Linked DNA regions of Macaca mulatta. The protein of the gene in region 1 interacts with the protein of each later gene in a pairwise test. Links are inferred from orthologs where the notes say so. Each region holds a gene or a part of one and is shown in the gene's direction. Other genes may lie near its edges.

Region 1 (4,453 bases):
AAGCAGGAAGATCACTCGAGTCCAGGAATTCAAGATCAGCCTGGCCAACACTGTGAGACCTCATCTCTACTAAAAATAAAATATTAGCCAGCTGTGTCCTGCATGCCTGTGGTCCAGCTACTCAGGAAGGAGAGGTGGGAGGATTGCTTAAGCCCGGGAGGCTGGCCTGGGCTAGAGTAAGACTCTGTCTCAAAAACCAAACCAAACCAAAAAAGATATATGCTTTCTTTTTAAAAAAATAAAGCCAAACAATATAGAAAAAGTCAAACAATATAGGAAACTACAAAGAAGAAAATACCACCGGAAATCACACTATATACTTCCACTATGTGGGGAGCACTTATTCAGGTATCTTTCTTTCATTCTCTGTCCACTTACAGAAATACGCATACAGTTTTTAAAACATGGAGTAATACTCTACCTGCTGTTTCTGGAGTAGTATTGTTGCAGACAGAGTGACATCTTTACACGGCAGATGACTTGATTCTTGGTGGTAAAGCAAGTGGTTGGTTATAAGTATGGGGTCTCATCGTACCTAGGTTAACATTTCTTTTCCATTCACTACGTGCCATTGAGTGAGTGATTTAACCCATCTCTCTGTGCCTCAGTTTCCTTATATACTAAAGTGGGGATGATAATATTACCTACGTCAGAGAGTTGATGTGAAGGTTAAATCAGATCAGATATTTAAGTACTTACTTAAGACAGTACCTGGAACATAGTAAGTACTTACTACATTTTAACTATTGTTCTTTTTCTTTTTTTTTTTTTTTTTTTTTTTGAGACGGAGTCTCGCTTTGTCGCCCAGGCTGGAGTGCAGTGGCTGGATCTCAGCTCACTGCAAGCTCCGCCTCCCGGGTTTACGCCATTCTCCTGCCTCAGCCTCCCGAGTAGCTGGGACTACAGGCGCCCACCACCTCGCCCGGCTAGTTTTTTGTATTTTTAGTAGAGACGGGGTTTCACCATATTAGCCAGGATGGTCTCGATCTCCTGACCTCGTGATCCGCCCGTCTCGGCCTCCCAAAGTGCTGGGATTACAGGCTTGAGCCACCGCGCCCGGCCTTAACTATTGTTCTTAACTAAATAAGTTTTAACTTCATAGTAACAACAAGGGGTTTTTAAATATACAGGTGGAATCTTTTTAAAAATACTTTTCACCATGATATTTCAAAGCCATTCTTTTAACATAAATTATTACTATTTTTGCACACACTATGTACATTATCCACTGAAATTAGTATTTGCAGGTAACTACGCTTTTGTGGAGACCTACTTAAAAACTGTCTTGTTGAACACAAGGTACCTTTAAGTGAGACAGTTTTACATGGGCTTCCTTTATAAGACATTAGTCCAACTAAAAATCCTTGTTAATTATTAAACCCTTAGGTGTTACAGGAATACCTGACACTGCAGATTGGAAACAGACAGTGTTTGTCTTTCAAGTTAAACCAACAAGTCGGTAGAAAAATGTAGTTATCAAGAAATTTTTAAAACTTCAACACTTTTTCTCTTATATTTAGTAAAGAGAGTAAAATATCTCCTGTTTTGGCTGACATCTCTACAGCCTGAACAATTGGCTTAAACCTCACTTGGGATTCCTGGTTGCTTGTTTTAGCATGGAGAAACTTGGCGTCCACAGAATCTTTCTTCTGGCTATTTCTCTGACAAAGTGTCTGGAAAGTACAAAACTGCTGGCAGACCTGAAAAAATGTGGTGACTTGGAATGTGAAAGTAAGTTTGCTTCCCCCGCTTCTTCTCCTCCTAAACTGGGGCTCTGAAATGACATAAAATCTTATTGTGGTCATGCATGATAAAAATGAGTACTGGTATCATTGAGAAATATTTGCATTATGAAGCATAGCTTGGTGTAAAAAAGAAATGTTGGAAGCAAAGCATTTTGTGATAGTATTTAATACAAATATACAAACAGCAAAAATCAGTCTGCTATAGAAATATATCAGAAGTTAAAATGATATTAATTCATACCTCAAAAACAAACTAATCAGCCCTTTTACTATTTTTAAAGATAAATCTGGGAGTCTCTGAGCCTATTCTGGCTCAGAAGGCTGCCCCATTAAAAAAAAAAAAAAAGGATAAATCTAATTGATTCACATGAAAAAAGACATCAGGCTAATTTGATAGTCCTTTATTTACGAAAGCCTTTTACTTTTTAGTTTCTGTTTCACACACAGAACTTTCTGATTCTCATGACGTTCCTAAAAAGTGTTCTTATTTCAAACCATCATGATTTATTCTTCTAAACCTTATCAAATGTTAATCATTTCTGTGTTATTATGTAAAAATACTGAAACCAGGGTTAGAATATAAATTTTTTATTTATATCATTGAATATAAAGCTTTTTTTTTTACTGTAAATGGAAATTAATTTCCATTCTATTAAGAACTAATTTTCTGTTATTCTATGGTGCAAAATAAATTATATCCCAATATATTAGAGTTGCTTTAAATAAGTTATTTTTCCTTTTGTTTTTATGTTATAATAAATATGTATTTTTTCTCTCGCAGCAAAATCAAGAGTTGCTTTAAATAAATTCTACCTTTTTGTTCTTTTTTTCTGAGATGGAGTCTTGCTCTGTCGCCCAGGCTGGAGTGCAATGGCACCATCTCGACTCACTGCAACCTCCGCCTCACAAGTTCTCCTGTCTCAGCCTCCAGGTGCACAACACCACACCCGGCTAATTTTTTGTATTGTAGTAGAGACGGGATTTCACTGTGTTGCCCAGCCTGAGCTCAGGGAATCCATCCGCCTCAGCCTCCCAAAGTGCTAGGATTACAGGCATGAGCCACTGCGCCTGCCTGTGAGAATTACTTCTAATTTGTAACATGAAAATTAAAAATGGAAAACATTATTAGTATAAACATAAATAATTTATAAGTAATAATTTTGAGTAAACATTCTTCCTTAACTTTTTGGACATATAACGTAATATGTAGAGAAGTTTGCTATATGATGTTTTATTGTCATAATAATCTTTTGGCTGGGTGTGGTGGCTTGCACCTCTAATCCCAGCACTTTGAGAGGCTGAAGTGGGAGGATCACTTGAGTTCAGGAGTTTGAGACCAGCCTGGGCCACATAGTGAGACCTCATCTCTACAAAAAATCAAAAAAGTTAGCTGAGCATGGTGGCACAAGCTATAGTCCCAGCTACTAGGGAGACTGAGGGTGGAGGATGGCTTAAACCTGGGAAGTGGAGGCTGCAGTCAGCTATCATTATGCCACTGCACTCTAGCCTAGGCAACAGAACAAGACTCTGCCTCAAAAAAATATATATAAAGAAAAAAAAAGTCTTTCTTTCCCTCTTTATATTACAACATCATTTTAGTTTTCTTAAGGCCAGACATAGAACCTGAAAAGGGAACATTCAAATTTATAGAAATTTATGATGTTATTTTAACTTTAATTGCATGACAATAAAAATATCTTGTTTTACACATGTCAGTATAATTATAATAGATAATATGGTGTGTATATTACTTCATGTGTTGAACTGCTGAATCTGGCATATGTGGCTGTGATTCGTTCATAGTTATTGAGGGCCTACTACATGTTGGGTTGGATGGGGGGCAGGTGCTATGCATCTAAGGAGAATAAAATGAGATGTAAGATAAGTTTCTTCCCCTTCAGAAAATTTAATTTTAGTGAACGATGACAAGACAGGTTAAATGAAACAGTAAATAGTGATGCAGCCTAGTAAGGATAATAGGTAATATTAAAGTTCAGAGAAAGGGCAATCGGAGTAGGTTGGAATAATCAGGCTGCCTCACAGAGGAAGCAGGGCATGACTCAAGCATGAAGGGGCAAACAGGTGTCTAGACTGGGGAAAGGACAGAAAGAAAAGCTCAGAATAAGGAAGGAGATTTTGCAGTGAGAAGAACCTCAGGGCAAATCGGGCTCCACTGGGGTTGTGTGACCAATTCTCTGAGCCTTCACTAAAGACTCATTTGTTAGACTGAGATGAAATTATTTACCTCATAGGTCTGTTTTAAGGATTTAATAAAATAAAAATATGAGAGCAATTATCATAATGCCCAGAATATGGTAAGTGCCAGGAAGAAAACTGATTACCTTTTTTCCTTTCCTACAGACTAGAGAATGATGATGATACGTTCCAGGGACAATGGATAAACAAGCTTGAGTGTAGCCAAGTCTGTGTGAAGGGATAGGAGGAGGTCCTTTCAAAGAGAGAAAGGGGACCAGGTTATGGACAGCCTTGGATACCAGGCCCAAAGGCTTAGACTCTCTAAGGCTACGTAGGTTTTTGAGGCCATAAATGATATAAAGATATTAGCATTTGGAAACATATAGGATGGATTGGAAGAGAGCAAGATGAAAGGGGAGAAATAACATTTTAATTTAATGTGTGTGTTTTTCTTTACATGTTTTACATAGCTTTAATAAGCAGAGTCTCAGCCATGAGAGATTACAGAGGAC
Region 2 (4,576 bases), on another chromosome or scaffold:
CACGTTTTCGTTTTCTTTTCCTTTTTTTTTTTTTTTTTTTTTTTTTTGAGATGGAGTCTTGCTCTTGTCACCCAGGCTGGAGTGCAATGGAACAATCTCGGTTCACTGCAACCTCTGCCTCCCAGGTTCAAGCGATTCTCCTGCCTCAGCCTCCCGAGTAGCTGGGATTACAGGTACCTGCCACCACGCCCAGCTAATTTTTTACTTTTAGTAGAGACCGGGTTTCGCCATGTTGGCCAGGCTGGTCTTGAACTCCTGACCTCGTGATCCACCTGTCTCAGCCTCCCAAAGTGCTGGGATTACAGGCATGAGCCACCACACCTGGCCCACTTTTTCTTAAGGCGACTCATCTAGCTAAGGAAGTGAGTGAGTCCTGAATTCCAGCCCACTCTCTGTTCCCAAAGCTGTACTCCTTAGCAGCGGTCTGAGTCTGGCTGGAAGAAGAGGCTTTTCCCAAATTCATACAATGTTGCGGCATACTTCCTAAGCCTTATGCCTTTTTGTAACTTGCAGAGACACTATTGTTTACTAGCAGCTGTGTTTTTCTTCATCTAGTAGAACAGAAATTCCTGGAAAGCAAAATCATTCTTATTTGTTCACTTTTGCTTTCCTACTGCTTGTAACATTATCAGGCACATAGTAGGTATTCCACAGATATTTTTGTCTGGTTGGAAGGATAGATGTATGGAGACTGGAGAAACTTGCAAATAAACAGAAATGCCAGTACAATGTGAGAATCAGGATGAGCTTGTGGACAGGATACTGCGGGAGTTCAGAAGCAAGGCATCTAACCCTCTCTTGAGAGGCCTTAACAATGTGTTCCAAGAGAAAGTTTATTTGGATTTCCTTGCCTTAAATTTCACAGTTCCTGGAGATAGAATAGTTTGGAGATAATCATATTTGATTTGGGGTTGTAAGAGCCTAGAAAACTCTCCAGACTGCTTCCTCTATGCAATTTCTGCAGTAGCAAATTTCTCACCTCTACCTCCAGATCAGGGGAGAGAATGTGAATACACACAGTGGAAAAGCACTATCCACTTCGATTAGTGGGATTCCACCCCAGAGTTAGTGAACAAACCTAAAAAGTGTATATACTACAACTAAAGCTTACATTTGGGGGACAGGGTTAACGTGGCAAGGAAAGAAAATACCACAGAACTTCAAGAGTCTTCAAAGTTCTGGCTGGACGGTGGCTCACACCTGTAATCTCAGCACTTCGGGAGGCCAAGGCAGGCAGATCACCTGAGGTCAGGAGTTCCAGACCAGCCTGGCCAACATAGTGAAACCCTGTCTCTACTAAAAATACAAAAACTAGCCAGATGGTAGTGGCACAGGTACTGGCCTGTGATTCCAGCTACTTGGGAGGCTGAGGCAAGAGAATTGCTTGAATGCGGGAGGGAGGTGGAGGTTGCAGTGAGCCAAGATCACACCACTGCACTCCAACCTGGGCCACAGAGTGAGACTTCGTCTCAAAAAAAAAAAAAAAAAAAAAGTCGTCAAAGTTCTTTCATTTTGATTTATAATTTTTACAGATGCAGGCAACGTGCTTCTGGTCAGAGCTAATGAAATGGAGGCCGAATCAGAGCGTTAGCTTCAGGAATGGGAATTCAGCGTCTGTTCTGGTTCCACTTCCCTTCACAATTATCAGCAAAAGCAAAGATTTAGAAGACATTACCGTTAATATACTTAGAAACAATCCCATAGCCACTTCCTACAATGAAAGAACACTAAAACCTTTCAATTTGATGACCAACTTAACAAGGGGTGAGAGAAATAAATGTTGGAGAACAGGAAACAGAGTCTTCCTTTTTACTGCCATACATGTTAAATACTGTTCATGGAGTCACAAAAATCGTTTACCCCTTACAGAAACCTGGAACCAGAAGGAGCTTCAGAAACTAAGTGGTACAAGTACTTTCACTGTATAGGCAAGAAAACTGGGACCCACACACTTGTCAGAACCAGAACCTTGACATTCTGAAATCAAGTTCATTGCTGTCATCATTGTTCCATGCTGAGAGTTTTCTTAGGAAAAACGAGGAAGTGGAGGAATCTTTCCAAAATTGTGACTATGGAGCTCGAAGGTACTGATTTAAATCTTGAGTTAACAGACCATACAGGCTTTACTTAAGAGATATTCAAGCAAACTCATTTAAATAACTCCTCCAAGCTAACCCTAGAAAGGCTTTCTTGGCAGTCTTGGATCAATGGCAATTAAACTTCCATCCTCGAGCTGGAAATAACAAACACCAAACGTAAATACCATCTGTCACATTCTCAATGTTCTCCTTGTCTCTCTACCTAGTCTGCTCTTTTCTGAAAACAACTGGGACACATTCACTCCAACTTGACTTGCCATAGGCCTAGTCTGTGATAGGTTTCATAATAACATCCTTCAACATAGCGTTGTTAAGAGCTGGCGCTGTTTGGGTATGGCCACAACTGCCTCTGCTCCTTCTGTGCATTATACACACTGTGTATTCCAGACACTGTGTATTCCAGACACTGTGTATTCCAGACACTGTGTATTCCAGACACTGTGTATTCCAGGCCAACGAAGGGGTAAGATATGGCTGCATTATTTAGGGCTAAGTGCTAAATGTGCCCGACTCCCTCGCTGAACAGCTAACCATTAGCAGACCTTAGAGTAGTTGATTTCTTAGCCTACTCACTTCCTGCAATCCGCTTTCCTAACCAGGCCTAGCTCCAATCTGACTGGGTAGAACAGACGATGCCAGCACAGTCAACAGCCATATCTAAGCCTTTCCTCTGGGGTCCACGAAAACAAAACTCCCGAGGAGCTGTGGGGGTGCTCCGTAGCAAGGGATCGTCGCCGAATCCAGCCCGCACACGTCGCAGCTTTAAATAGGTAGGGTCGTGGGGCCTAGTGCTCCCTTCCATCTTTGGACGGAATGTATCTTCTCTTCCTATGCCTTCACCTCCGAGTGGTAAGGTCTCGTGAGATACAATATGCAGAGGCCAGTTTTGGGGCGAGCCGGAGGCCGTGAGCGTCTAGCCTGCCGGGACGGGAAAGCGGAGGGTGCCGTAAGAGCTGCTGTAGGCTCTAGCCAACAGGGACTCTCCGAACCGGAAGCGCCCCGCGTCGCTATGGCTACAGGCGCTCGCTGCAGGCCCGTAGCGTTCCGTCCCCATGGCAACGGTATTGTCTCCTTGGCCGGAACCTGGGTTGCGGAAGATAAAGGGGACCTCGCAGGCTGTGTAACTTCTGCGAGGCACCGCTTTGGCGCCCGGACCGAGATCGGCCAGGATCAGGAGGCCGACGCAGCGGGAAGAAGCCGCGCAGTCGGGCTGAGGGAGCGGGGAGGCTGGTTCCGGGGCGTGGATTCCCCGCCTTGGGCAAGGTATGCTGTGCGCACTCGCGCGTTCTCTTAGAGCTTCCGCAGCAGGGTCAGTGCTAAGCAGAGCCCGACCTGTGGCGTCAGGGCTTAACGGAGTGACCGCGGAACCACAGCAGGAAAAGAGGAGCGAATCGTACCTGAGTGGGGGACCAGAGTTTAGTGTTCAGGGCCATGCGGAACATCATAGGAAAAGAGTCCGGAAGTTTGAGAGATCAGAACGCCTTGCTGTGGGCATAGTGTTTAAAGTGGAGGTTAAAAAGAGAAATTAGTGAGTCTCCCTTTCTGATTTTCGGTTAGTGGATGCTCTGGAGCCTGGGTCAGAAAGCCACTCAGGGGTCGGCGGGAATGAGTGATTTCTGGAGGGTGAAATGAGAGGCTACTTGGTGGATGTTAACGTTCAGTAAATAACTGCGTTCGATTTGGATTTGGTTTAAGCGCCTGGCATAGCCTTCCTTGAGAGTTGAATTTCACAAATACTGTATTTAGAAATCACATTTTTCGTCATGTGCTTCCGAGGTTTCCCCCATCATCTAACAGCAACAACTAAAACAGACACATGAATTTCATTTTGTTGTTTTATTTTATTTTGAGATGGAGTCTCGCTTTGTCGCCCAGGCTGGAGTGCAGTGGCGGGATCTCGGCTTGCTGCGATCTCCCCCTCCCGGGTTCAAGCGATTCTCCTGCCTCAGCCTCCCGGCTGTGATGTCAAAATTCTGTGATACTTACAAACTCAGCCTCCTGGGTAGCTGGAACTACAGGCGTGCACCACCACAGCGGGCTAAATTTTGTATTTTTAGTAGAGACAGGGTTTCACCATGTTGGCCAGGCTGGTCTGAAACTCCTGAACTCAGGTGATCCACCTGCTTCGGCCTCCCACAGTGCTGGGATTACAGGCGTGAGCCTCTGTACCCGCTTTGTGACCCCCTTTACTAGAATCTGCTATTAATTAGTGAAATGACCCCAGCGAAAAAAAGCAGAATTAACCAACACACTGTGCTTCGTTTACCACTGAGAACTGGTTGCTTTGCTTAAATCCATCATGCCGTCAGACCTGCAAAAACAATATCTGAGTTGAGTAGGTGACCATAGTTTTGATGACCCAGGAGCTGTAAATGTGCTTGAGACATAAAGGCCAGGGATTTTGGAGAAGTAGGGTGGAGTTGAAATTAGGGGAAATAAATTTAACTGACATTTAATTTGGCAAATTAAAGACCATC

Evidence for each region.
Region 2: the proteins of MIA2 (region 1) and TTC23L interact in binary tests that used the Homo sapiens proteins (3 or more experiments, as listed by UniProt). The two-hybrid records come from large-scale screens. The link is inferred for Macaca mulatta from reciprocal best matches to the Homo sapiens genes MIA2 and TTC23L.

What each region holds. Positions count from the first base shown.
Region 1 is NC_133412.1:112,353,062-112,357,514, forward strand, and holds the start of MIA2 (melanoma inhibitory activity protein 2), read left to right. Parts: upstream 1-1,377; 5' UTR 1,378-1,616; coding exon 1,617-1,731; intron 1,732-4,411; coding exon 4,412-4,453. UniProt on the Homo sapiens protein: Plays a role in the transport of cargos that are too large to fit into COPII-coated vesicles and require specific mechanisms to be incorporated into membrane-bound carriers and exported from the endoplasmic reticulum.
Region 2 is NC_133411.1:35,899,606-35,904,181, forward strand, and holds the start of TTC23L (tetratricopeptide repeat protein 23-like), read left to right. Parts: upstream 1-1,501; 5' UTR 1,502-2,970; coding exon 2,971-3,362; intron 3,363-3,379; exon of another isoform or gene 3,380-3,627; intron 3,628-4,576.